Linked DNA regions of Lepisosteus oculatus. The protein of the gene in region 4 purifies or fractionates together with the protein of the main gene of each other region. This does not show direct contact. Links are inferred from orthologs where the notes say so. Each region holds a gene or a part of one and is shown on either strand. Other genes may lie near its edges. The genes, in order: microtubule cross-linking factor 1, twf1b, svila and F-actin-capping protein subunit alpha-2.

Region 1 (7,113 bases), on a different chromosome or scaffold from region 4:
ACATACGACATACGCGCTACACAGCTTCATGTCGGAGCTGGTTCATTTGTATTTGGTCATGTGGAAGGGAAGCTAGCCTGCAGCATTTTTAACTAAATACAGAGTAGCCTTCTGGTACAATAAACGGTTTATACAGATTCTGGTTAAAAATGTAAGCGTTTGAAAAAGTCATTTGAGAGCTATATATCTCTATAATTCCGGCTAAATGTAGCTACTAAAATATATATATACAATACACCATAGCTTGATTCGCCACCTCAACGTCTCCGAGCGACGTTTCTTTTCGTCTCTACAGAGGAGCCAGCATTTCAGCACGCTTTTGGTGTCACCTGTGATGTCCGCATGAAATATCTTACAAGATGCTTGTGAGACGCTATACGCCCATAGCTGTTCACTAGCTGCATAAAAAAACGTGTTTTCTTGCAGTGCCGGGGCGTACATAAAATGCGATCGCGGTGTGGTGGCAAAAATATCAATTTTAAATCTCTGGAGTCACTCGCTAATGTAAAAGGCTACAAGGTTGGATTATCGCCTCGGTTCTATACATATGATCGAAATAGTATTAACATCTGTGTACTGTATGTAGTCGCTTTCCAGACCAATTACGGAAAGCAGCGAAGCGCATGCGAGTCTATTTAGAGTTTCGAGGTGTTACGAGTATTTAAAGGTCCGTAAATACTGTAAGTGAACAAAACGAACTGGGATACTGTGATGGCAACAATAATGACAAACTAGTAACAATCAGTGCTCAAGTAATTAGGGAATTCAGTTATTACAGGCTGCCATTGGGGGGGAAAGACAACACGAAGAGTAAAGTGAATTGAACTGAGTTTGGTGTAGGCTTCACTGCGCTCTTGAGACGGAAAAAGAAAGCAACAATTCTGTGTTATGCGCCAAAAGGGTTAAAACCAATAGAAAAGCAGATGTCCCTAAGCAGAGCCTAGTAATTGCACTCTCGCTGCAGCGCAACGCATTGCATAGCCTTGGCTTTTTCTGAACACCAACCACACATCCAGTACACAGTGTGCTAATATACTGTAATAACAGTGCTGTAGTGCTCGCAGAGGAAAACGCAAAACAGCATCTTCTTAGTCACCCCTAGTTACAATAATGCGTAACTATCCAGGCTGACAAAAAAAAGGAAACAAAAAAGAACATGTAAAGAACTTGATTGCTGCCCAGTTTTAACGCGTAAAGACGATAAGGCCTATATTATTATACGCGCTTACACGGACCACAGAACTTATTCATGTACAGGTTTACACTATGTCTCGTGTTTGGCACATGCGTCAGTTGTGGTACCGCTATTTATTTATTTTTTTTGGCGAACGGTTAGTGTCGACGAATGCCTTCCTCAGTGAGCAGGTGTGTTAAAAACAGTGACACACAAACGCGGTGCTGAAGGGATCCATTCCAACGCATTCGCATTTACCTTGAGATAGTCATTTTCGGAACGCAGGTCCTCGACCTCCCTCAGCAGGTCCTCTTCTATCAACCCCTTGCTGCCCCGCAGCATGAATTCTGTGGGGGTGTTCGGGTGGCCCGGTCTAAAGTCCAGTTTGCCGGGGCTCCTTCCCGGCGGTTCCGTGTCGCCGCACTGTCCTGGAGCAGGTAGCGGGTAGGACACCCTCTCTTTAGCGGGTATCTGGGACACCGAGGCCGGGGGCTCCCCGAGCTGGGGGAGGCTGTGAGCCCTCCCGTAGGTCGCGGCGGCGGCCGCCCCGACAGGCTGGTGATCGCCAGACCCTGGGTCGCGGTCGCTGGACCCGGAGCCGGAGCCGGAGCCGGACTCCGCATCGCTGCTGCCCGCCTGGGTGAGCCTCTGCTCATCCGACAGGGGCTCCGAGGGGCAGTCGGACAGGTCCGAGCTGCTGTCCGTATGGCTGCTCCTCCCCAGCCCGGCTCCTCCTGGGGCGCCGACCGAAGAGCTCTGGCCAGGTGAACCCCGGGGAGCCTCCGCCACGGCGCATCTTTTCTCTTTTTTCCCTTTACCGGAGCTGTGGCCGGCGAGTTTCGGCTCTGTCGTCCCGTGTTGGATGGTCTTAGCTGCCTTTTTGGGTACCGCGGTCTTGGCGGCACTCTTTGCCGGAGCCGGTTTGTCTTTGGCGCCGGAGATGCTGCGCCTGGACAGGCGGTTTTGAGATGCCAGGAGCCCTGTTGATTGCTGCTGCTGCTGCTGCTGCTTGCTCGAGAGGTTGGGAGATTTGGGAGGGATGGCCGGGGGTTTGGCAGACGACCGGGAGTGTATATCCTTCAGGAATGGTCTCGCAGGGGAAGGCGCTCTGTTCAGTCTTTTCTTCTCCACTAACTGGTGGTTTTGCGGCTTGCTCTCGTTATTGGTGCCATTTAAACTCTCCATCATCCGCAGACGCGTGTAAGGAATGGTGATGAAAGAAACGACCCGTCCTCTGCCCACACAAATAACCCTTGCAGATCACTTCGGCAATACCGTCCTGTTTTTCCGATTTCATCACTTCGGATTGGTGCGCACCTTGTCAGGCGTTCACATCCCCGCGATGGATTACCTCTGTCGAGTACAAGCACCCCCTTTCTTCATCCTCCCTTTACTCTCCTTGAACCAGTTTAAAGAAAATGCAGCAAGGATAAAAAAAAAAACAACCCTGAATTTCCAATCGAAATGACGCGAGTCACCCCCACCTGCCGGGCCACGGGTTTGTCTTCTGTCCGGGTTTAATTCATGTGCAGCCGTGATGCAAGACAGCGATCCCCCCGAACCCCCATTCTGTTACCTCGTCCCCCCCACCCCTCGGACAGTTTCCTCAGCCGTCCACCCCTCTCCGCTCCGGTCTGACATGCAAGATCTGCAAGCGCTGCTGCGGTCCGTCTCTGACGCTTGTGCCTTTCCGGCGAGCGCATGCGCCTGCTTTTTTCACCATCAATTCTCACCCCCCCGCCCTCTCTCTTATTTTTAAGTCCGAGGAGATTTGTCTTACGGGCAATGAATGGGAAGTCCATAGAGCTGTCTGCGTCCTTACTCACGACCGCTCTCTGGCAGCTGTGTCTGCGGGTGGCATTAAAGCGCTAATGCACTAAAAGCCTTAGCCCGTAAGCTTCAGAACGGAGTCTGAGGCTTTGTCCACTTTGTTTCCGCATGGATTGAGAATTTCTTATTCAGGAACTGGGGGGAAAAAAGGCATTAACCTAGACTTACAGGAATAATAAAGGCACCGCCCAATCTAGCCTTTACACCCACTGTTGTTAACTTTGCAATATCAATATAAAATCTAAACTGTTGCGTGGATTTGTTTTTTTAAGTCACGCAGGACACCTCAGATTTGACACCTTATATGTGTAGGCATTCGTGTATAAAAAAGCACTACATCCCTGGAACACAAGCACGGTATAAAGCCATTAACAGATGGTATCCCTCGAAGATGTGTGGAGGTCACAAGGAACTTGTTTATTGGGCTCCATCTCACATTATATTTACAAACAGAAAATAAGGATACATACAAAAGAAGCTTTAAATATTCCTTACACTATACATTAGTATTGAAAAAAATTAAGACTTACGGGGATGGATGGTGTTCGTCATACATATTTCTCTTATTTAAAAAAAATAATTTTTCCATTAGACCCTACATTTGCGGTCCTTTTAAGCAGCAGAATGACCAGACCGTAGCCCGCCAGATCTTGTCATCTCTCAGGAGCTAAGCATGGATGAGTCCAGTCAGTACTGGGCAAAGAGGACTTATAAGGAAAACCAGGCTGCTGAAGTAAGAGGTGTTGGGGGTAACTCTTCCCTTTGGACCACAGCTTTCAAAACAAATTCCCGAGTATTGTGATTAGGTACAGTGTACAGTAGTGGGTACCATCACTCAGACCAGGCATCAGACAAGGTCCCGTGACATTTCATTAGAGTTGGGGTGTGGTGCCCAGCGTCCTGGTTAAATTCCTCTGGGCTTGAACAGCCTGACCTACCTGGAACTTCTCCTTGATTCTCCCATTTCTAGTCGGGCTGCTGGCACATGGCTGCACCACACATAAAGAGCTTTGGCATCCTTAGGGCACAAACAGCTGTCTAAAAGAGATTGTTTTCAGTCAGTGCGTTTACGAACATTTTGCAGCTGCCTACATATCTGACCATTTCATGTTACTGACAGCTACACAAGTGTGAGCAGCTGTATGATTTTTACAATCACGTTTTCCCCATTAGGCACTGATGTCCTACAAGCGTACTGCTCCTACAGCTTCACACTTGCTACTCTGTCTTCAGTTAAGTGTGTTGTTAAATTCTATACTGTAGAGTGTCTACTAAATTGTGTAAGCAGTACTTTAAGGGTTGTTGTATACATACTGATGGAAAAAAGAAACGCAACACCTCCTCCTCCACACTCTGGCCCTCCCGTCTGGGTGGAACAGGCTGAAGAGGGACTCATCTGTGAAGAGGACCTGATGCCACTGCTGACGAGTCCATCGCAGCCTCTGTCTGGCCCAAGCCAGCTGGGTGTGAGGTCTAGGAGCTGTGAGCAGAGGGCCTCTGACAGGTCGCCTTGCTCTAAGGCCAGCAGCATGGAGCCTCACTGTCCGGTCACTGATGCGGGCATTGTGTCTGCTGGCAGGTTCAGCCGCAGTACGGGTGGCAGATCTGAAACGATCTCTCAGATGGACCAGTCTGATGTGTCGGTCCTGCTCTGGTGTGGTCACTCGAGGGCAACCGGATCTTGGGCGGTCATCTGTCCTGCCGGTCTGCTGAAGCCTTCTCTGCAGTCGGGACACAGTGGAGCGGCTCACTCCATAGCGTCTGGCAACGCTGGCACATGACAGGCCTGCCTGCAGCATGCCAGTGGCCCTCTCCCTTGCTTCTGGTGCCATCTGAGGCATTATGGACTGCACAGAAAACTGACTAAGTGTGGGCTTCTTCTCGCAGTGACCTAAGCTTTGAATTGAGGCCTTTTTAAAGGTGACCTGATCAGGCATTGCTCCACCTGCACCTCGTTGGGTAAAAGTGCACCTAATGAGCTTTCCTGTGATTGGCAGGTTGCAATGCCCCACTGCACCAGCTGTACTGCTTAAAACAAATTTATCACTTTTTGTGAAAGTACATTAACTATAACTATAGTATTCAAGAAAATCTTGCGTTTCTTTTTGGCATCACTATGTTCACCCTGTAAAATGTATTACTGAGGCTTGCATGTGAACTAACACCATACATACAAATAAAGACTGATTACCACACAATACATGCTGCTAGCTGTAGCAAAGTCTGATGCTGAATACACTGAGCTAAGGCATGTTATCTTCATGCCAGGACTTTCAGTCAGCAAAGGGAAGGTGCTAGGAATCAAACGAATGTATGATCCCCTCCGTAAATATTAAAATGAGACCGTAAATGAACCATTTGGTTCATTAACACAGCAAAACTGTGTAAAACGGAACTGATGCAACAAAAACTAGTAACAGGAAGGAGTCAACTTATTGAATTTCTGACCAGATCAATTGAAAACATTGACCACTGTGAAATGCACAGCTGGCAGCACTCATTCTCAAGATAGTGCCCTGCCTGTCTAATATCGCAGGTGTTGCTGGAGATGATCAATTGCTTTTCCAGGTGCATTAAAGAGGTCTGGCTCAAGAGATAATGCAGGCCACTAAAGAGACAGCAGATCATTTGTTAAAATAATACCTGTATTTTCAGACTACAACGGTTGTATACGAAAAGGTTTGCCAAATCTGTTATCCATGAATCTCAGGTTCATTGTGGTTACTAGCCCATTCACCACTTGACCAGCTACATATACCATTTCGAGTTGATCATAGTGCTCCCCCCACACCCCAATCCTAATATTACCTTCTATGACGTCCATTTAGAAACAGCAAAAATGTGAGAAAACCTGATAAAATCCTTGATTTTCCCCTAGGCTTTCAACTTAGAATCTGACCATGAAAGCTTTTCAGGACAGTGTCCAAATCAATATCTATGGGCAAGTGTTAAAGCGAGTCCCCAGCTGTGAAATGCTGTCTTTCACAACTTCAGTATATCCAGCCATTTTCTAACAGTTACAATTCAGGGTCCTGGGGGAGCCAGAGCCTATCCCAGCAAGCAACAGGCGCAAGGCAGGGTACACCCGGGGCAGGACACCAGTCCACCGCAGGGCAGACAGATACACTGACACAAATCCGCACACACTCACACCCGGACCAGTTCACCCAGAAGCCCGTGAACCTACCAGTATGTCTTTGGTCTATGGCAGCAAACTGGAGCACCCAGAGAAAACACACACAAACACGGAGAGAACATACAAACCCCCACACAGACAGCACCCCAGGTCTGGACTCGAACCCGGGGCCCCAGCAGCCGTGAGGGAGGAGGGCTCACCAGTGCGCTACTGTGCCACCCCTACACACACACACACACATCGCTTAAGAAAAAAACAGAAAATTACATGTTTGAAAAGCAGGGAAAAACCTATGAATACTGCATTTTCCTGTAAATGAAGTATAAAGAGATCTTATTAGTGGACACTTGAAGCTTGTACGGGCTCTTTATCAACAGAGCTGTGTTCATAAACAACGTCTCCGTGGGCTCGATTGGGCCTTCTCTGCTCTGGCACCTGGATTCCTAGCCATTACAGGACTTTGGCCCTTGTTCCAAAACATTCAGTACAGAACTGATCCTTTTAATTCCACTTTTTTTTTCATTTTACTCAAGCAAAGTGAAAATCACTTCAATAACTGAGGATTAGCAGGAGCACCGAACCTTGGCATGGAATCTGGCATAAATTTGCCATCCTCTGGGCAAGAGGAGCCGAGACACATCTTATATTCCAGAATTAGAGTGCCACCTGGTGGCGACTTACCGGCATTTCAGACTAACATTTCAATTGAAAAGAGGATCACCAAGAAAGTAGCAACAAAGCAGAAAAGTTCAGTCTGACAGCATTGTCCTGTGAGAATTCGTTCCTTATAAAATGTGGTGCATTACACACTGGGTGACCCTTGTACATCTAATTTTGTACATTTCACGTAGAATAAATTAAACGTTCCAACATTAAATGCTGAGTAATAAATATAAAATTTTATTTGCACTTCATTAGTTAAAGAATGCCACAAGTTATAAATACCTCAAAAACATCTTAGAACATGCCAACA
Region 2 (8,023 bases), about 16 Mb from region 4:
AGTTCAGATCTCAAATATCTTTGAAGAACTGAGTGAGTGTTTGCTTCCATTGCAAAATAAGATTTTAAATACTGAGCATTCTTGTGGACAGGAGACAATCAAAAGGGTCACACGACAGTTCAGTAGAGACACAGTGTTGAGTATGGCCAGCAGGAGTCATAGGTGCACACATGCAGCTGCGACAAGCACAACCCCATTATACAGATAAGACACTTTGTTAATTCTGTACTGAATCTATATTTCATTTTTAATAATCAGTAGCCATGGCCTTAGCCAGGAAAAGTGGACTGTACTGGGTCTTCTAATACTTGTGAATACTGTGAAACATCAGTAGAACAAAGCTGCAGTTTTCTGGTACCATATTCAGTTCTTGCAAAGCAACATTAAATCCTTAAACACAGGTTCGAGTCTGTAACGTACAATGAAAAAATAACAATTCTTTCATTTTTTGGGATATCGTTACCGTATATTGGATAGCTTACAGGTGAATGATCTGGTGACCAGGCTAGAAAAATCCACTCAAATCCCTGAGCATTTTGTGAGTCCAACCTGTAGAGGATATATGATGGCTGGTCATCCTCTAATAAAGGAAGAACATACAAATCATATTCTTTGTCCCAGGTCTTCACAGCTTGTTTGGTGCTGCCGACTACCAGCTCTTCTGAAATAAAAAGATTGAACATGCATGAGTCTTAATTATTAAGAATATAACTACACTGATGCCTTTGATTATATGGGTCTATATCCTGTTATTTCACATATTTTTTTAAATAAAAAGAAATACATATTGGATTGTATTTATTAAAAATAATTCAATTTTGTGTACTGTATTTACACATGTGTATCCTATTTTTTGCCATACATTTTGGAAACTTTTTTAATGAAGAAAGCAGGTTTTTAGCACTGCAAAATAGGGAAGTGCAGTTAAAAAAGTCACAAAGTGTCTAAAATTTTCTTGATCAAACCTAATTTCAAGTCCCATTATTATCCACATTCACTGATCTGGATATGGGTGTTTTTTTTCTACATATTTAATACACTTTTACATACTAATAGATGCAACAATATAACATGCTGAAAGAAAACTAGTTACTTGTACACGGCTAAGCATTTTATCTTTCACTTCTAATTTGACGCTATCAAATGTATGAATATGCCAGGTAATGAGAAACCATAAAAACATTCAGTGAAGAAACATGTTTTCATTTGATTCAGTTATGACATAAAAGCCTTTTTTAGTTCTTGACTTTGTGCTATCGTAACTGGGGATTTCGTGTTTTATTAATTTTAACTTACTGGTTGTCTTGGTTTTAACTTTTTCTTCTGAATAATATTTTTTTACATTATCACTGATGCAGTTGTCCTAAAAGGGAAAAGGCTGGCATTTGTATTACATATCATAACAGAAATCACAAGTAAATTATAATTCCATACTTTACATAGAGTTAGAACTGACCATTCTCGATCACAATCTTGAGGAGCCGATAGTTCCCATTTCTGGCATTTGCAAAAATGTCTTTCACTTCTTCAGCAGCTGAAACAAAATTTTAACATTATTAAACTACACGTCTAGCTACTAATTGAAGCATACTATACACGTTAAGTACACATTGTTTTTATGTACATAAATGCATGACACTTAAACATTGCAGAATAAAATGAACTGCTGATGTCACAATTCAACAATACTGGCAAATGAAAGAGTGGACAGCTCCCTTGCCCCTCAATCAGGTTTTAGTACTGAATTTAATTAAAGGATTTTCAAATTAAGCTCAAAACTAATTTTAATTTATGAAGAAACAAAATAAACTTTATTTTTGGAACAACAATCTTACAAGAGGAAAATCAAGGGCAGAAGACAAAACTACAGTCTCATGAGAACTGTCTGTAAAGAGACAGGAACAGTGTGTTGCAAGAGATGTATGTCTACCAGTACTTATAATAAAGGCATAAGAGCGCATCCAAAGTGCTCAAAAAAAACTTAAGCCAATGAATTTTCATTAACATTTCATGCATCTGTCCTTATAAGAATTATGAATGTGCTTTACACAAACATCCTGATTAAGCACACAAATGCATTAGCATTAGAGTATTTAATTGATTTTGTTTCTGGTAAATAATGTAGTCAACAGTCAAATACCCTAGTTTTCTAAATAAAACAAGTGATTTTCTTTTATTGTATTGACACGACAGTAAGAGATCTGTATAGAATCCCCTTTCCATACTTATTTCCTGACCCACTATAAAAATCATAAACGTTTTGGTTTTTAAGGGAGGAACTGATACACTTGTGGGGGGAAAAAGTAAGTCTGTCTGTCTCATCGGTTTGTTGGCAAGGCCAGGACCCAGTCATATCCTTCTAAATTCCTCTGTAGGCGTTGTCTCACCATAGCTGCTTTCTACTGAAGGTGCTGTGGATACTTCATTTGCACAAGACCTTTGTTCTAGGCAGTACTAATGGAGCAACCACAACACACGTATAGCAGATCACCAAGCATGTTTCATTTCACGTACGTTTTTTTTCATTCTAACTCAACAGACAAAATAATACAATTAGTTATATTATTCTCCTTTGCAAAGAGATACAACAGGCTATCCAACAAGAACTTCCATTTAATCTAAAGCGGTATTGATTACATCGTAACTGAACTTCTTCCTCTTTTTAACCACGATTATGTTTTTTTAACAAGATAAGAGATTAGACACAGATTTAAAATAATTTACCTTGAATGCCAGTTTGATGGGACATTATTTGTTTCTCTGAAGTCGACCGGCTGATTAGAAGCGAAAGAACAAGGAAGAAGAAACTGAACTACACAGCAATTCTACACCGGCTTCGACTTGACGTCACCGGCAGCAGCAGAGACTCCAAAGTCACGTGGCCAACACTGGGCTCAGAAGAGGTGGAAGTTCAGAGCTGTTCGTCTAGCTAGGGCATGCATGAGCTTGTTAATGTCTGGATATGTTAGCTGTTCGAACCTTCCATAAAACCTGTAATTCCGTATCACATATCTATTAAAGCAAACACTACGCAATGTGAATGTTTCCATAAGTATGCACAGCATGCAATAAAAATGTAAAATTTCACTCAAAATTAAAGGTTTATGTAAAATTTCAAATGATTGGATTTCGGAATTATCTCGTATTGAAAAGTCACGTCGAATTAACATATGGACACACGTCTGAAGGGAAAACAACACCGCCTGAAGAAATGCAAGAACATAAAGCCATTAGTCTTTAACTCCTTGATTTTTTGTGTAAAAATGCATTATACACGGAAGTCTAGTTTTTTGCGGATCATTCCAATTTGCTGTAAATTTAATTTGATCCATTCATATTGATGCAACTAACTTTATAAGTTAAATATTGTATTGCCTCAGTTCAAATATTCAACATGATAACTTCCAGGAAAAAAAAATGTTAGAGTAAGTACCGAATACCTCAAATTCCATCTATTTTCACAAATTAGTGTGAGATAAAAGCTGCACTAAGCACCTGTTATACAAGGCCAGTAAAACATTTTCTAACAACCGCTAGAGGCTCTTATTCTTAACAAGAATTGCGCATGCTCTTGTCACTACGTATCTGTACCTAGAGATATTGTACTGCATTATGGGATATCAATGACCAGGGGATGGTAAAACTAGCACATTTTTTAAGCTGGCACCAATCTTGTTATAAGGTATAGGCAGTTTGTTCTCGCTGTGTCATCGTCGGCTGTAGGGTACTTGCAGAAACGTGTCGTTACTTGCAAAGTGTGATGCATTATCAAATCAATGGGAAAACTAATAAAACAGTAAAACAAGTTAAAATATGATGGACACAGTTGTACATCCAGCGTTACTACATTCCTAAATTTATTTATAAAGAAATAACAATTCATACACTGTGGATTAAATTGTTGTAATTCAGTAGAAATCTAATCGACCTCTTGTTGTAGTGAAATTAGTAAACGTGGAAGAAATATTATTTTGAAATAGGTACAATTCTGTCAAGCAATGCTCATAAGTTATAACACTAAATATATAATGTCGTGAATAACGTTGTTGGAGAATGTGCCAAAACATGATTCATAGTAGGAACAGTATTGCTTTGCAAAGCCAGCTACAGTATATATACACATACAGTGCATACTGACACAGAAATGTATCTGTGAGGTGAAATGCAAATTCCATTCAGAAATACAATTTCAAGTGTTTTAACTTTTTAACTTTTACTCATTTAGCTGGTGTTTATGAGATCATATGCAGAAGTTTTTTTTCTTTCAATGCTATATTCCAGAAAATATATGTTAAACTTCACTCCATGAACAATCACCAACACATTATAAATATAATTTTTAAATACTGTCAACAGGAAAAAGGATTGCTTAAGTAGGTTTTGAAAGGACAACAGCAATAATCCCTTGAGGTTTGCAGGGTGCTGCAGATATATTTATCTTTTACTGTGTATTTGATTATAAGATTCCAATAATATCTTCCGCTGAGTGAATTATCTGGCTAACCACTTTTCAGAAGAAAAGATTAATTAAATTTGGTCCATAATCTATGGTAGTTCAAAATGTTTTTAGGCTATTACAGAGATTTATTTATAGATACAGTATTCCTCATCTAGAAGCATATTTAAAAAATACCTTTTGGTAGATCACAGTATTGCTGACATTCTGTTTGAACATGAATGATATTAATACTGAAATATAATATTTCTGAAAAGGTTACTGATTATTTTGAACTATTTAAAATCTTAAGAGCTTGATTCTACTTCTGAGCAATTTGTTTAGTATGAGATAAGCAGTTTGCACTTGAAGAATTCCAAAGTGTCTTTACTGTACATAAAAACTTCAATGTTTTTATGTTTAAAGTAAGTTTCTTTCTTAATTTTGTATACAGTACAGTATATTGACTGATTTAATTAGGTTCCTAAAAATGTCAATAAAATACAAACAGAAAAATACTCTTTCATTCTAGAGTTTTTTAAAGGAGGATTTCTTTATACTGTATACTGTACATATTTGAGTTTCAAGACTACTTTCATATCCGCGTTCTGACAATTATTCATGACACGTATTTCACTGCTTGATTTTCAACTTTAGACAAATTGTGTGCAAAATAAATCAGGAAGTATCAACAAACTATAGCTTTAAAATATCAAATATTGCAATTCATAGTTTGATGCTTATTGTTTTCAACCAGTTTAAAAAATATTCTATCTTATTCAAAATATTATAAAGAAAAAGAAGAAAACATATCACAAGAGAAGCAAAAGTCTGTGGTGGTACTTATAAGTATTTAAGGATTCAAATGAATAAAACTAAGTAATGGAGCTGCATCTCCATGTTCAAAATGGTCCCTATCTGTCTTTTGTCTTACCTTCATAGATACACTTGGAAGAAACATTATTTTCATCAGGATGACCCAGCATGTTTGTTGCACTACTGGATGCTGATAGTATGTGCTGTGGGGAGTGCATTTTTCAGCTCTGCATTTCCCTGACACAGAACAGCTGAACACCCAGCCATGCTGACGAAGCAGTGCCTTTTCTGCCTTCTCACTGCTGCTTGTAAAACAACTACAAAGCTAATGGATTTGGGAGTGTGACTGCCATAGAAAGAGACAGGTCACATGGCCAGTCTAGTGACACTGCAAGACATGATTTCCTCTTGCTAGTAGAATAATTCTAATGTTGTCAGCTCAGTGAGCATGATGATGCTGCCAAAAGCCGAGTGGGATCTGGCTTCTTGTCCCCGGAGCACAGCCTGAAGAAGGAAGAAGTGGTGTGGTAAGTTGGTGTATTCAGTATGTAAATATGTTATTCACTGAACAATCTTTCTCCAGCCTGCAGCCAGACAGTTATCAAATAGACTTCAGCCTTAAAATTTGACAATTCCAGCAGCTGTTGCCTTGGTAATATAATAAAACAAAGCACTGTCAGGAGCAGGGAAGACTGACTTCATTCCTAGGACACAGAGAAGTGACAAATTAGTGCTATTACATTTTGCATGTGTTAATGTGGAATAATCTTTTAAACACTTGACAATATATTTTTAATTTCCTTAAGACCCAGAAATTGTTAGAAACGAGAAACTTCTGTTGTATGCTGGATTGAAAAAATGAAAATGCATTTCCTGTAATGCTAGTCAGCTGTTTGTCTATTTTTATTGGCCACTTGAGCTAAAGAGCATTTCTTAAGGTGGACCAAGGACAGAAAAATAATGTGAGGGATTTAGAGAAACTGTTATTTACCCCTCTTACTATACATAAAATAATAATAGTAATAGTTATTGTTACATTATTGATATATCATTTATTTAACCAATCGTGCAATTAGTTAAACTATGTGTGCAATATTTGGTATGTTAAAAATATTGTTTCTTGACATATTTAACTATCAAGAGATATGTGTTAAGAATCTAAGATACTGTGTTCATTATGGATTAACTTCATATTCACAGATAGACAAGGGTAATGCACAAATGAGTTAAGATTGTTAAGAAAAGAACTGGGATTAAGTGAGAGCTACACATCCTTTTATAGTAATTTGGTATGAATCCAGTTGTTTAGGTTTGTTAATTTAATTTTATGTTCATTTAAACTGTCAAAGTTGGATATTCCTTTTAGGCCGGGAATGTATTTTGTTGCTCCTCTACAATGAAATTCAAGGACAACAATCGTTTTTGTATCAGAATTGTAAAAATATTCTAAATGAAGTCATACAAGTGTAACATATTACCCTTTGCTTAAAAATCTATGCTTTTAACTATACTGTACTACTATTGCTATTTCAGAGTCTAGATTAATGATATAAATTAGGAAGAGCAGTAGTTCAGACTCAGATGTCTATTACCATACAACTGCCATTTTACATTGGAAGTAAGGGTTATTGGTCTACAATTACTTGGGTTAGTTTTGTCACAGTTGGAATAGTTTTACTAATGACCTATGAACAACATCCCTAAAACTGTGTTCATCTTACAGTAAGTGCTTCTGGTACCTGTAACTCTCATGTATTTTCTGTGCTAAAAGTATATAATCTAAAGCTCCACCTTTCCTCACCCTGAAGCATGCAGTTGATTTCTCCCATGATAAAAAGTGTAGTGAAATATTTAATACAGAAGCCATCATCCTTTTATTTTCTAAATGTTTTCAATTTTTATGCCTGAGAGACATTACTTCATGGTTAACTAGTGTTTTGTTGTGGTCATATTGAAAACATATTACCTGTCTTCTATTTCAGTAGAATTTTCTCTCTTTCTAATACCCGTTTTTACTTGAACTAACTGTACTTGAATCATTCTTAAAGTGCTTTGTTTCACTTTATATTTTTTCTTATTTGATTTATTTAACCATTTGGACAACTGTTTTGCATGTGATTTGCTTGCTTTTGGAATGTGTTTTGTTTCCGTGTTTCAAGCAGAATATTTTTAAACTGTTGCTGTCCTTTCTCATTTCACATTTGTATCCCATTCCATTTCTGCTTTCCTGAAATTATGAATCTTTATTTTCGACTTTGCATGTCTTGTATAGTATGTTTGACATTTGTATCTTGCTAATATTTGCTATATTTGGCTAATATTTAAAGAAATCTACTATATGTTTACTGTGTGATGTTTAGTTTCTGACTGCAGGGTCAGCTGTGTCCTTTTAAAGCTAATATGGGATCTGCTGGTGTTCACCAGTTTTTATTCAAATGGACAGCAGATATTCCCTTGGAAAAAGCATACAGTATTTAGTTTAATAGACAATGTCTACTATTTTATTATCAAAACAGGACATTATTTCTTCAGCTGTGAATACAAAACATATACAAAATTATACACTTGAAACTAAGAAAAAAAGTTAAGGAAAACTATAATTGAATTTTAATGACATATTTATCCCATTATTTTTCTAAAAAATATAAATATTGTTTCCTAGCCATTATGTTAGTGATTATTGTAATAATCCAAGGCTAAATGTCCAACCACTTGTGTGGTGAAGTAATAACATCTAATACTTGATACAGGAGATATTTTCTGTACCAATGC
Region 3 (7,324 bases), on a different chromosome or scaffold from region 4:
ATTTCCCTTCGTATGAAGGTAGTAGGACATGGATGCTTTTATAGCTGCTGACAAGGGTTATGCATGCACGCCGTCTGCCAGAAGGTACAGGGTCACAGGGAGCTAGCATGCTGTTTGCTTGCAGAGGTAAACAGTATACGACCTCTCAGTCAGCCAGTCAAGTTGCATGTTGCCTTATTAGGGTAGGCTGCTGGGAACGGAGGCTAGGGACAGTCTCTGCCGGTTTGCAGCTAATGGAGCTGGAACCTTACAGTTCTGCACCCCTGAGAGGTATCCCACTACTGGCACTGTTTGCAAAGCAGTCCCAGAATATGCAACTCTCAAGGCCTTCTCTCTAATGGCAGCTAAGATATTGCCATCTGCCCTTTGTGCTGTATTTTTCTTTGGCGTTGGTTATGTTTTAAGTTAATCTGACTAGAAGTGGCAAACTAATTGTGACTGTAGGGTGCACTGTGCTTTCCTTTATCAACAGCTGGACAGGCTTCATCTGGGTTCGTGTATTCGACATTCTGTCATCACTTCATAGACCAAGACCTATGCAGGTCTTTGCAGGGAAGTGCTTTCTCCGTTCAGAAAACAGTTTTGTTTTGAGAAGGTTTCTCTTCTGTTCTCAAGTCTGTTTCAGCGATTTTTTAATTTCAGTTTCTAGTATGCAAATGTACATTTTTCAGAACCTTTTTAAATTCTTAAGCAAATTTTAGTATTTTCTTAAACCAGTGAAAATGCATTGGTTTAAGTACAGTAAGGCTATTTTAAAAGGGCTTGAGTTAAGCCATTGTTGTACTGTGTATATATATATACACACTGTATACATACACACATCTTCTAAATACTTCCAATTCATGGGCAGAGCTAGAGCCTACCTGGCAATTAACAGGCACAGGACAGGGTATACCCCAGACAGGGCTTCAGTCCATCGCAGGGCGGATGTGTAATGTGGTACATTTCCAACTTAAAAGACGATTGCCACAAGAAATGGCCACAAGATCTACAGTAGCAAAGACTCTTCAAAACTGAAGTTGTTCATTGCCCCACTGAAAATTTTAAATCATTTTTGTTGAAGAGCATTCTTAGCTTTCTTTGTTAGGTTGGAGTTCTTGGTTTTCAACAGTGGCAACCTTGCCTTTCCAAACCTGCCCTTTGAAGGAGCCTGTGTTTTGTGTAAAACATTATTGATTTTATGCTTTGTGTGCACAATTCCCACCACACAACAGTGTATCACCACTTATCCCCTCAGTTTTGTTCTGTCCTGTTAGTAAATGGTACACGATGAAAGCACTCAGTATTGATTATCAGTGCCTGCCTTGTCTTGAGACCATTTAGTTGTGCGCAAGAGAACAGACCCTTGTGCAAATAAGAAGCCGTGTGCTTTTCTCTACTTTGATCAGGAAACACATTCTAAAATGACTGAAGGTATTTTCCACACATCCTATCCAACACTGATTGTTCGCAGCAGGCTGTGCATTTTGTTTCCTTGTTGCAAAAAACGATGGCAGTTTGTTGTGAAATAGTTGTCCTTAAAAAGGAGTTTGACATTTAATTTCAGAGTGTATGTTTCTAATTTTAACAATTGTTGTTTTTAAATACCAACATGATGTAATTGTCAAAATGTTTCTCATTCTGTTTTGAGGTGCCTTTACAATTGTGATGTAGTCACAATCTACTATGTATATTTTACAAAGCCTGTGATCTTTGTTATTAGCCAAGCTTGTAATATTTGCAAATTTATCATTTTCAGCATTTTTACTGTCGTCCTGAAGAGAGGATCTAACTCATATTGACATACTGGGTATTTTATTAATAAGTTTGCTATTCATATTTTTGCTAGTGTAATGAAGAATGTACAGACTGAAAATTATATTTCCCAGAATATTTTTCTACGTTATTATTAGTAAATGGTACAGCCAGGAATCTGGTTGGTCAACCCCTTTCTTGAAAGTTTGAGTGCCTTTTGCTTAAAAAAAGTAAATGCCAGAATTTTTCCCCCACTGAACCTTGTGGAATAATTCTAATATTTTCTGCAGAACAATTGCTTTAAATGGAATGTATTGAATGCACTTTCCTAGAAGTGCTGGTCATGGTCATTTGATTGTATTACATTTTAGATAGCGAGTTACTGGATGTGGCACTTTTCTTTATGCAAGTAGTTGTTTTTCCCCCCCCCATGTTGTTTGAGCCACAGTTTTGCTTTATGGTAGTTTTCAGACTAATCAACCCTGCTCTAGAAGTTGAGTCCAAGTTGCTGTGCAATGACAGATTTTTAGATCTTTATTCTCTTTCAACAGTGCAATTGGAGTTATATATATTGTGGTAAGATTAGTATGATTTTCCTCTGGAGAGATTCTTACAATAGGTGGAATTCTCTTCCCGAGACCCCACCTCCCTCCTGTGCCATTCCTACGTGGAATACCAGTATTGATTGTAGCTACAGTGCTAAGAGATTGGCATAACAGTGTAGTGGTCTGGAATTCTGGGTTCCCAGACGGTGTTGTGTGTTCTTCATTGGGTTAACAGGCACTTGTGACAGATGATGTACTGCAGGTCTCTACTGTATCTAAAACAGACTTGAAAATTGTCATAGCTCACGCTAATCTGGGTTTACCCAAAATAGTGTTCTGTTGAGAGCCTGCTAGCCCATGTTTTAACTTGTTTTTGACATTTCAGATGTTGCTTTTTTATGTATGTGAAGATACCATTTCTTAAAGTCTTCTTTTAAGATTGCTAGACCTATTAGTTAATGCAAATGACTCGGTAAGATGGAAAATCCTATAGAGGTAATTGTAGATCCCCCCCTCAGATGTGAGCTGGCAGCGAATCTGTGTCTATGGATGCATGGCCTAGATTAGATCACAGCAGAAGTGATTTCTAAGCCTGTCACTTCTAATAAGTTCCATCAGTGTCTACTTGACCTTGTTTGACGTCGGTGAGTCAAACACTATGCCATTTTTCTAGCGAGGATGGCAAATTATACTGTACATTCTTTTCTGTTTTGTCAATATACACTTGCAGTTTAGACCCTAATACATGTATGTTACGTTTCAAATAGATTTGTTTGTCCTAGCAGTAAATCTGTAGGAGCATGTTCTATTGTGAAAAGTGTAACTCTCAGCTTTTATCATATGGAGTTCGACATGTTTGGACAAGCTGACCTTATCCCTGTCTGTGCACAGTTACTGTAGTTGTCATACCCCACTTTCCTTGTGAGGAAGCATTTCTAACCAAGTGGGTCATGAACTGTTCTCCATGGGGCTCTAATTGGGAGAGGGCCTGCACATTCGATTCTCGGATCAGTTTAACAGTAGTTGCATCTCGCAAGTTGAACGTACTGTAGCTGGGCACTCACCCACAGCTATCATTGTGGACTTGCATGTTCTTATAAGTACTGTATATATTTTTATAACTTACTAATCCAGGTGCACCATAAACTGTGGAAAAGCTCGTAGAAAAACCTGCTTCAAAATGAACCACTTAGCACTAACTTTCCAAGTAGTAGTTTACATTCAACCTATGAAAAGGTTGAGTAATTTAGGAATATTGTCTTGTTTCCAACTAAATTAGGGGCATAGTTTAGATAATCACTTATTACGATACAAGAAAAAAGGTCCTGGTAAAAAGTATATCATTAAAGCTTTTCTTTTTAGGGAAAGACCAGTTTCTTTTATTGTTTGTTCATTCTCTTCAAAAGCCAAAGTCATTCCAAGTAAATTTATTAAATACAGTAGCTACCTTCAGTTGTGAATCTGAGGGATCTGAAAGATGGTCAACGAGCACGGCTTGTATTGGAATATCTCGGACTATTAAGAGGGTCCATTGCTTTCTTTTCAGTTTTACTCACATGTTGTCCATAAATCAAGACTTTTAACGGTGTGCTTTTTTGGCTTCTCCTGGGGTAGGCAAAGTATTTAGCATAATGATACGATTAGTCAGAGCCCAGTCCTCTGGCAGCCTGGGAGCTGATTTCGCGTTCTCTCTGAGCACTCCTTGCACTTTCTGATTACTTAGAGATGAGTGGAATTTCTTGTCCATTAGAGGAGATTGTTTCTCTTCTTTATTTGAGGAGCTGTGCCTCCGTTGCGCTGCGGTACTGTACCTCATCCAAGGGAGCAGATGTTGTGACTTTTTGGCCACAGACTTGCGGCAGTTTTGGCGATTCAGGCTCTTGAACGCCCTCATCAAATCTGTTTTAACATTTTCCTGTGCCTAATTTTCGCCTGTAATCTGATTACCAGCCTGAGCTGCTTTAGCATGCAGCCTATTGCGATGCATGCACTGTATTCCCTAAGCCCATCGATAGCTTGACAGCTTCAGTCTGTTCAGGACTGCTAGTAGGAATCTCTACACACTGCCTTGTAGGCAGGCCTTGTGCTGCATCTACACTGGTTGAGGAATAGCTGCCACCTCTTTTCCTGTTGTTGGCATTTTCTCCCTTATTGCAACAATGTTCAGGAACCCCTGGATCTCTAATTACGTCGGCGCTATGAAGTATTGTGGACAAGGTAAGTGACCTGATAGTATGCTATTCTGAAATGCAGTGTTTCCAGTGTCCTTGCATTATGTAGTCTGAAATTCCGAGGACGCAGTTGAAAGGTAATGAATGAAATAGAGGGATAAGGATTTTCATCTGTGAGTTTAAAATGCAAAACAATTAATGATTAATTCAAAGAGTCAAAAGGATGTTGTCTACAATAGCAGCTTTGATATGTGCATCGAGTTTTTATTTTTACTAGCGTTTCAACGTGCTTGGTATTTACAACAGGTGTCAGCATACTTCATGCACATTTAATAAAAACAACCGCAATGTAATTCTCAAGCTTAATTCATCGGTGGAAGTCCACCAAAAAATGTAATTTCAGTATATGGTAATGGCTTGCCTAAATGAGATGAATCACTTTATAATGTTTTTATTTGCCACTGGATTTTTTTTTTCCTGGCAGCTCTATGGGAAATTTTTGCCTTATTCTCAAGATAGGTTTTGAATGTGTAATACTAAGAAATACAGCGTTTTGCTTTGGAGCAATTACTGTAAATTCGTTTAAATTCTAACTGCAGAACATCCTTCTTTAGGATATTTTTAGAATTTTCTATTTCTGGGAGCTAGGCATTTGGATAATCATCCTCCTATCACCTAGCTTATTGACTATAAAGAATTCAGACATGTTCAGCATCTGTCTGCAAGTAACTCTCCCTTTATATTGGTTAAAATCTACTGCAGCTGAATTGTTTACTTCTAGGTTGTTGTGGCATCTGTTCCTGTGTACATTTGGTGAGGGAGTTTTTTTTTTAAATAATGAAAATGCGTATTTGGTTATCCTTTGAAAACAACAATTAGACTGTTTTATAGACTTCTTCAGTGTTACTTAAACAATTGTTTTGCATTGAATATTTAGCCTTTGATAATTGCATATGAACATGATTTTATGCTAAATATTTGCAATTTAGTTTTTGTCAGACCTGAAAAATTTGTTTACTTTCCTCAATTAGCACATTACTGAAAAGAATAAGGAAATGATCTATTCTTTAATGTGCATCGTGTCCTGTTACATCACATTTTTAGAACAGGACAATTAAATTGTATAATAGGAGCTAGATTTTATGCGGCCTTCTAATTTGACGGTTCTTAAACCTTAAAATACTACATACTGTGTAGGCATTAAACATAGGATTTATGCCTACTTCCGTTACTCTTGTGAGTTTATAGAATATCCTAAGAGCTCCTAGAAAGCGTTATATACGCAATTCAATTTTTCCGTTTCAGCTACGTCAGTAAATTAGACACAAACATAATTTGTGTGCATATACTGTAAAGGTATAATTTCCACTGTAGATTATGTAGTGAGATATTTGGAGATGACATTTTCAGTTAATTTAAGGCACCCTATACAAAATATTAGCACCTCTTAACACTGGAATCTTTCACCCTACTGTAAGTAATTATGAGGCACATAAGAGAAAACCCAGTATAATTCATAAAACGTGAAGGACAGCATGCTTTTTGTAACCTGCAGCTGATGGGGATGATTCCAATGGTGTTTTTTCACATTGGAATACCTATTACTGTAGTTTTACGTTCCCTAGTTGGAATGTTTAATGTATATAAAAAGTCTGTTCGAGTCTTAGAAATTTCTTGCATGCCTTTAGCACTGCTATAAATTTTACTGAGGCCTGTGTCTGATTAGGCCCTCTTTCAATTCCCCTTATGTTGCACAGGCCCATAACCAAAAAAATATTCCCTGAGGAACATGATTCTTGTATGCACATGCAGTTTATTTTAATGTTGTGAACTAAAAATAATTTTGCTTGAAGATGCAACAACATGGAAATTTCTATAGTATATTGAAAATGGAAATATTAGTATATTATGAAAATGTCATTTCTAAAACATTTTCTGATTTGTCAGGTACTGTATGAACCATAACATCAAAACAGTATTAAATAAAATGTCAGTTACTTTAATGTCCTCAATGTTCTTTATAGTTGTCTGTCAATTAGAATTGCTTTATCAGCTGTTGAGCTGAATTCTGAGAGGGATTTCTTTCGAATGAGCAATGTTTTTGGAGGATATTCCTTGCAGCTGAAATAACACTATATATGAAAATATATCCAGATGAGCATTTTATAAAAGAGGTTTCTGACTTTTAGTGAAGACGCGATATGAACAGCACTAATATCTATACTGAACATTTTAAATGAATGTCTTCTGTTTTTGTGACTGCTGATGTTCCCTAAGATGAATTGGTAATCTTGTGAACTGAGGTGTATTCAGAAGTGGAAACACCCGTTCATAAGGAAAATAAATTAAGCAGATGACTAACTTTTAGTCTACCTTTTATACGTCAGTAGAAACCACACTGAGCTCTGATAATGGCTAATGTTACAGTATGTTAGGCAACCAACTGGTATTAGTTTGCCAAACTTCTCAAACCAGATCCTTGCCTCTGCTTGTTGAACGGTTTGGTTAATTTTACTTTAAGCGAGTTCTTGTTTTTTGCTGGCTTCACAGCAGTGGAAATAAAAACATTCTTCAACTCTGGATAAACCCAGACATTCCTTCAGATAAACACTGGTTACTCACTTCTCAGTATATTGCAAACTGTTGAATATACAATGGCTAGAATTAAGACAAATCCTACAATGCAGTCTTGAGAATGGATTTTTACAGCTATTAGAAATATCTGCCTCTTGAAATCGGTGAATACACCTACATATAGAGTACACTGTATTAGCATTACATGAGCTTTATATTAAATTGAAAATTCAATAAAAACATTTGGTTGCCACAAATCAATGGTGAAAAACAATACAATAGCTTTCCGGTCTCTTATAA
Region 4 (7,344 bases):
CTAGATATCCTAATCAGTTTTAGCATGTAAGAACATTACATTTTTTTTAAAGGACAGAATCTTTCTGCACACATTTTCTTTGAATTTCAACTAGTTTATCTGGTTAACACAAAGGCATGATGAGGCCATTCAAGTTAAATTAGGTACAGCTTGTGTTCAATTAGACTATGTGCAGAATTGCATTATGTGACTCGAATTAATTTCACACGGCACTGAGACAACACAGCTATTGACATTCTTGATGACCCAGTTACACCAAGGGTGGATCCGTGGAGTTGTGTTTTTCCATCTCTTATTCCTGTTATTCAACAGCAGAATGTTATGAAATATGGAAAGGTACCCTTAACATGGCATTCAAAAATGTTTGGGCATAGTTTACAAAGGATAAAACACAAATAGTCACAGTAATTCCTTCAGAGAAAAAGTACTATAATCTGCCAAACAGTTCACCACCACTGTAGTCAGTTATATCATGCTATTAAGTGAATGATTTAGCTTTAGCGAATGTTTTTAGTGGGAAATTATCATCACTGTGGTGACTGTTACATTTCTGTCGAATATTTTACCTTTCATTTCCATACTGAAGAGTCCCAAATGTTTTCAGGTCACTAATGTGTGGTATTTGTTGTTGCTGAAGTGACATTGCTGCACTGAAGGATTGTGAACTCAACAAAATGTCAATGCCAAGACATAAACCCCTAAGTGCACAAGATACAAATAATAAAACTGTTGGCTTTTGACAAAAAAAAAACTTCAGTCACCAATGAACTATCCTTCTAATTTTTAGGCATCACTCATTTCAGTTTGACTTTCAATCACCCCACAGAAAAAAACAAAACATAAACAACTAAAAGGCTAAAAAACCAAGTGTGCTTGTTCATTAGTCAGCAACTTAATGTAGATTAATTTCACTCCATGAACGTTACTGGTCTCCACAGCTGGGTTTAAAACTCTTGATGTCATATTAGTAATCTTAATCTTTACAAATAAAATCTTACAACACAGATGTACTAGGTAATGAGGGAGACTGTACTGTGCACTAAAACAGTGATACAATATGATCAAGAATTTATATTTAATTCTCATGCATAATATAAAATACAGTCTTTTAAAAACTTACAGCAAAGCACTTTTGCCTCTCTGATGTGTTCTATTCGAAAGACTGCAGTATTTCTAACTAGTCTTAAGTAACCTTAGCACAAGTATAAATCTAGAAGTGTTACAGCATTATACAAGCTGCATCAATTTCTTGGTGAAAAGCCATAAATAGTACAAATCAACAGCTTGGGTGATTTTACAGAAAAAAACTGGTTATCATATACAGCTTTAATGCACAGCAATGCAATTTGAGTAATTGATTTTAATGTGCACAGAGTAGTGTTCCTTTAGATTAGATTTCGATTAATATTAATAGAGATGGACAGAGTTGGACAGAGACGGGCAGCCAAATGCATTCTGAGGTCTAACACTGACAGCCTCAAAAGCACTGACAAAGTCGACCCAGTGAATTTCTTCAGGGGATCTTAAATGTTTATTCAGCAAATTCACTCACTGTTTTTATTTCAGGATACTAGCAGTGTTGGTTAATCCCTAAATAATACTCAGTGTCATAAAGACTTTTCTGATAAGGGGAGGTGCATGTGATGCTCAGAGCCCAAAACAAAAAGGTACTAAATTCCTTGAAACCTGTTTAGTCTTGTCTCATACTGTGACTATACATTCATACCAGACAATTCAAATTCTTTATGGGAACTAAATGGCTTTTTAGTTCTGTTAAGGGCAACTCCAAATGAAGACCTGACAACTCAGTCACTGCCAGGATTCTTAAACATGTTGTTTATTCTACATTTATTACATTTATTACACCTTTTAACAGTCAGATGGATTCTTGTTTTTACAATACACTGCTGAACAGCTAAGAACTTGTCATCTTGCATTTACAATCCTACTGGTGAAGCAGGCCAATATAATCTAGTTTATTTCGAATGATACATCACTGACTGCTACAAACAAAGTAGAGAAGTCTGCTTTATAGCTGCCCACATTTCACAATAAATAACCAGGCCGCGTTAAATGCATTTACAATCCAAGAACCACACTGCAAGAGCGAAATATAGCGAACTCCGCTTCCAGTACCCTAATTAAATGGATGCTATCACAACACATTCACCGCATCATTTCTTGTAAATTGAGGGGATGGGAAGTTACACAACTCCGCAAGTATAATCCGGCAGTTACCTCTGTACCATTTACCTTACTACAAGTTTTTTTTTTAGTTTGCGAACCATTATTTCGCAGCACCCTTTCTAGTACCCTAGAGGCTGCTAAGCTTTCCTGAGGGCCCGTACAGCTGCACCGCGGAGAGCGTCCTTACTAACTTCAACAGCAACACTGCAATTGGAAAACCTGCAGCACAGTATGGGGCTTATTCCTCCCGGCTCTGGTTCTTATTGTGCAAACTCGAGCAGTAATAAGCAAGCAGCGCCAATGGCAACAGGGCGTGTACTAGTAAATACATATCCTGTGTGTGCGAAATGATCACAGAAAAACAGGTCAGACATAAACGCAAATTGTATGACAGAAGGATAACAATGCATACTACCGCTTTAGGAACTGGAGCAACTATATGGAAACCCATTCCTATTTTTGCGATCGGACCGTACAAGGAGTCCCCGTTTGAGATTCGCAGACAGAAACGGAAGTTGGGCAGGGACTGCTGAGCTAAAAATAATAGACTAGTGCAAGCCTGAACCCAGCGGCCTGTCGCTACTTGTAAAGATGAACAACGCTATACTTTACCTGAGCCCCTATGTATAAACAAGATCGGAGTTAAAGACTATTAAATCCTGCATCACTCTCTGTCCTAAGCCCTGCAACCAACAAAAGACATTCCGCATCTCCTACCTTCTCCTCATCAGATAACTGCTCCTCATGATCCGCCATCTTTCCTTCCGGCACGACGGTTCACTGAAGCTCACCCTGACGTCATCAGAAGGGAGGATTCCCACACGAGGCTCGCGCACTGCGTACGGAGCTGGAGAGTGTGCACAAGGCGCGCGACTAGCTGCGAGCGGCGGCACAGCCGGTCATGATTCTGGTCTCCCTGGATCGGTGGATTATAATATAACCCGGCAAACATTTAGTAACCTTTCTGCAACGCTAAAGGTGCTGATAAAACGAGAGGTCCCGATAGCTTACGTGTTAATCAGCACTAAATAAGTGTATTATTTGTTCGTTATTGACCCCATCAAAATAGTAGACAAATGTTTCACTAGTCGGAATCAATTCCTCAATTTATATATGTGTATGTATTTAATTTATCACACTTCAATCTTAAAATGTTGTGCCTTTCAAACTGCACCTCCCAAGAGCAATTTAACACATTGGCGCAAGTCTTTTTAATTTACCACTGCCAAAGACGGCAGCAATCTGTAGACTGAGCCGAAACCCAGCGCTTATTATCTGATGAGGTTTTCAGATATCCGATTAGATCTGTTCTGCCGAACACTCGGTTGCTTGTTAACACTGCCACCTTCTGTTGTGTTAAGTATATTATTTGTATTGACTTTTTTTTTACCTGGTTCGTCTCGTATCGTAAACATTGGTGTAGAGCTCTTAGCTAGGTTGTTTTAAACTAGTCTAGTTAAAGGGTTATTGTTAATAAACGTGTTGTAACTATGTTCATTCTAAAAGTCCGAATGTATCGTGTGTTTCAATCAAAGCTAAAAAATAATGTCCTGTGATAAAACACTAAACGCCATCTCAACATTCAGTCATTCATCGAAAAAATAAAGACAATTTGAGCATTTCAGCATTTTGAAAGAACAATTGTTAGTTAACTTTTTGTGTAAAATTATTTTGCTCAATGTAAATAAGCAAAGCGTGCTATATTTAAATGAGGCTGCGGGTTTAGTCTTTTACTGGTTATGGTTTTGTGTGAAATGATTTGGACAAATCGCAAAATCCGAAATATCAAACAGGATACGCCTGAAACAGACAAAGCGACGAAGCTACTGTACGTAATCAACTTGCGAATTGAGCTCGGAAGGTATTACTGTACGTGACAGGTGTCGTATCCAATTCAGTATCCCCTGGAAATCTGCATCCCCCTACGTCATGCATATGTGACATCTCAGGGGCGTATGATTTTTCTCATCTTCTACATATAAAATGATTTACAGTAAATGTAACACATAAGGGCAAAAGATGCATATAGCCTTTGTGTGCTTTCTTTTGGGTTCCCGCAACCTACCGAAGCTCAGCAGGTGTAAGCCTGGACAGTACCTGGATGGGAGACCTCTAGAGAAAAACTAAGGTTGCTGCTGGAAGAGGTGTTCATGGGGCCAGCAGGGGGTGCTCACCCTGTGGTCTATGTGGGTCCTAATGCCCCAGTATAGTGACAGGGACACTATACTGTAAAAAGACCCCGTCCTTCAGATGAGACATAAAATTGAGGTCCTGACTCTCTGTGGTCATCAAAAATACCAGGGTGTTTCTCGAAAAGAATAGTGGTTTGACCCCGGCGTCCTGGCCAAATTTCCCATTGGCTTTTACCAATCATGGCCTCCTAATAATCCCCATCCATGATCTGGCTTCGTAACTCATAGCTGGTGTGCCGTCACATCATCCAGGTGGATGCTGCACACTGGTAGTGGTAGAGGGGAGTTCCCATTACCTGTAAAGCACTTTGAGTGGAGTGTCCAGAAAAGCCCTATATAAGTGTAAGCAATTATTATTATTATTATTATTATTATTAATTTGAGCTTTCATTCACGTGACAGCGGTATTTTTTGTGCATTTTTACATTACCGTAATCCTTAGAAAACGCATTAAATACACAGAGAAACCCATGTAAGTGCACAAACAACGGGGTCCTTTTTATCCATATCGTAATAAGCAAAGGCACAAACATGCACGAGCAGCCTGTATCATCAAGTTATCCTGGAAAGTTTGTGGAGCGCATGCGCATTACGTAAAGGGGATACAAATTTAGAAGGGATGAGAAAAATATACTGATCCTTGTGTAGCACCATCATGCTTTGTCGGCAACCATGCTAAGTATCCTAGATCTCTTCCTGCCAGTACTCTACCACCATTGCACACTCCTTAATATCCCTGGTCATCTATATCTGCAGATTACACTATAGGACTTTCTCAATTCTTGGTTGTTCCGTGTTGTTTTACTTGTAGTTGACTCATTCTTGAAGACAGCCCATTTTGTTCCCTTGCTCAAAGCCACGTGGTTGAAGCCAATATTTTAGTTTCCTTCAAGAAACAGCCACTTGACAGCTTTAGATCAATAAGCTACCAACTTCCCAATGGACCAGATGTAAACATTCCGATGTTCTTATATGTATATGTAGAAGTAATGCTCTTTCTGTCTTTATTAGCAGTGGTTTCCTTTTCTGAGTCCCACAGGCAAGTAGACTTCTGAAGATCACAAACCGACAATTTGTCTGTGACGTACACAGGAAATAGCTTTTATGCATTGTGTCTTACTGTATATCGTCTCTTGAATTCAGATTTTTTTCCTATTCCATCCATTTTCTTAACTTACAAGTCTGATTTTTTTAAGATTGAGGTTCTGTAGTTGTTTCCAATTCTACCTACACACGCATGTATATCAAATTTGTCTGTACAATCAGGCCTTGAGTCTATGAAATTTCATATTAAAAACCATAAATAATGATGTACAGTATTGCAGTATGCATTACCTCAAAAAGAAAATCATATATACCATCCTTAAATAAATAAAACCTTTTATAAAACTAGTTTTCAGTTGTTTAATGTGAATTAAACTGTCATATGTTTCACAGACTTCTCTGATACAGCTATTTTGAGGGTTTGCTGTGAATGCAAGTTTGCAGGTTTGAGGATTCAAAACGAAAGCACACTATATACTACACTTTATTCCGCCCCCTTTGTGAAATTTTAGTCGGCGATAAGGTGCAATAATAATAATAATAATAATAATAATAATAATAATAATAATAATAATAATAATAAAATTATTATTATTATTGCTTACCCTTATATAGCGAAAATGGTTATAGTAATTAAATCTTAAATAAAAAATAACGTATGGAATACCAATTTCCTGCAAACTAAATGTTAAAATGTTAATATCATACAATTCATAGATCATTTTATACATTACGCTTTTACTTAAAAAAATGTGCCACCACGTGCTATTTTATGAAGCGAGAAAAGTTCACGGTTTTAGTTGTAGAAACGACTCCGGGCCACAAGAGGGCGTCGACGCAGCGTAAAAAAACGGGACGTTGGCGTTTCAAGGAAAACATTTAGCTGTAAATAAAATGTTTAAATTTTAAATTACAACAAAAATACTTTACAGTAATGTTAGTCAGTACACTTTTACACTACACTGAGAGTACATATATGTTCGAACAGACCTTATGAAACTCACACCTCAGGGTTTGTACATTATCATCTTGGCGCGCAATAGATCATGTTGACTAATATGGAAGGTATGACGGTAAAGGACGCTGATTTGAGAAATATGCCAAGTGATTAGGTACAAAAGCAATGTTAAGCAAATGAATCACTGCATGCCTTGAATGTAACCTTTGTTCCAAAAATTTACAAATGGCAAAGGCAGGTCTTAGTTTAAGACAGGATGGTCTTCAGCTGTAAATAAATGTGAACAGGTGCACTGCTGTAAAAACTATTAAAAAGAAATGCCATTTGCAAACCAACTCAACTGTTTAGTGTACTAAAAGAGAAACACTTCACAAATGGGAATCAAGGAATATTGAATAAAAAAAACAGATGTGTCTTAGATTCCTCCTCTACACAATGTAATCCTTAGATTTTGTTGTAATAGTAATTAACCTGATTCTATATGGTCTTACAGTGTGTCCAATTTTTTTGATAATTACAAAACCATTTGCAGTTTTTTGAATTTGCTATTCTTTGTACACATACAGCGTGTGCTATTTTTGATTCTTTATGAACTGGAATTATGTTAAAAGTTGTATTCATTCATGTTGTTTTCCCCTTGGATAGTAGTGTCTGCCTAACATCTTCATTATCATTATCATTAATATAAAAAAATAATTCATTATGCTAAAATTTCATACCTGTGTGGAAATGAAAAAATAGAGTGTTCACCAACATTATTTATATAAAACAATTACAAATACAAAAAAAAAAGACAACAATGAAAGTAAAGTTTCACCTGTCCAGCTCATCTGCTTGAAAGTGCTCTGGATGAAACCAGAACCTGATGACTCTTGTTAAAAGTGTGGGGTCATTTTTGTAGACCAAAAAAAAAATCCCTATTCCGATCAATAATTTTATTGGTTACTCAATATATTCGAGGCA

Evidence for each region.
Region 1: the proteins of F-actin-capping protein subunit alpha-2 (region 4) and microtubule cross-linking factor 1 purify together in Homo sapiens (affinity purification with mass spectrometry; 3 studies listed by BioGRID and IntAct, counting the BioPlex papers as one, with this or other methods). This does not show direct contact. The link is inferred for Lepisosteus oculatus from reciprocal best matches to the Homo sapiens genes CAPZA2 and MTCL1.
Region 2: the proteins of F-actin-capping protein subunit alpha-2 (region 4) and twf1b purify together in Homo sapiens (affinity purification with mass spectrometry; 3 studies listed by BioGRID and IntAct, with this or other methods). This does not show direct contact. The link is inferred for Lepisosteus oculatus from reciprocal best matches to the Homo sapiens genes CAPZA2 and TWF1.
Region 3: the proteins of F-actin-capping protein subunit alpha-2 (region 4) and svila purify together in Homo sapiens (affinity purification with mass spectrometry; 3 studies listed by BioGRID and IntAct, counting the BioPlex papers as one, with this or other methods). This does not show direct contact. The link is inferred for Lepisosteus oculatus from reciprocal best matches to the Homo sapiens genes CAPZA2 and SVIL.

Annotation. Positions count from the first base shown.
Region 1 is NC_090701.1:56,253,166-56,260,278, reverse strand, and holds the start of microtubule cross-linking factor 1, read right to left. Parts: upstream 3,008-7,113; 5' UTR 2,363-3,007; coding exon 1,433-2,362; intron 1-1,432. UniProt on the Homo sapiens protein: Microtubule-associated factor involved in the late phase of epithelial polarization and microtubule dynamics regulation.
Region 2 is NC_090702.1:29,639,933-29,647,955, reverse strand, and holds the start of twf1b (twinfilin-1), read right to left. Parts: upstream 3,024-8,023; 5' UTR 2,750-3,023; coding exon 2,725-2,749; intron 1,535-2,724; coding exon 1,457-1,534; intron 662-1,456; coding exon 483-661; intron 1-482. UniProt on the Homo sapiens protein: Actin-binding protein involved in motile and morphological processes. Inhibits actin polymerization, likely by sequestering G-actin. By capping the barbed ends of filaments, it also regulates motility.
Region 3 is NC_090701.1:39,896,160-39,903,483, reverse strand, and holds the start of svila (supervillin a), read left to right. Parts: upstream 1-4,306; 5' UTR 4,307-4,438; coding exon 4,439-4,496; intron 4,497-7,324.
Region 4 is NC_090702.1:45,303,348-45,310,691, reverse strand, and holds the start of F-actin-capping protein subunit alpha-2, read right to left. Parts: upstream 3,011-7,344; 5' UTR 2,944-3,010; coding exon 2,905-2,943; intron 1-2,904. UniProt on the Homo sapiens protein: F-actin-capping proteins bind in a Ca(2+)-independent manner to the fast growing ends of actin filaments (barbed end) thereby blocking the exchange of subunits at these ends.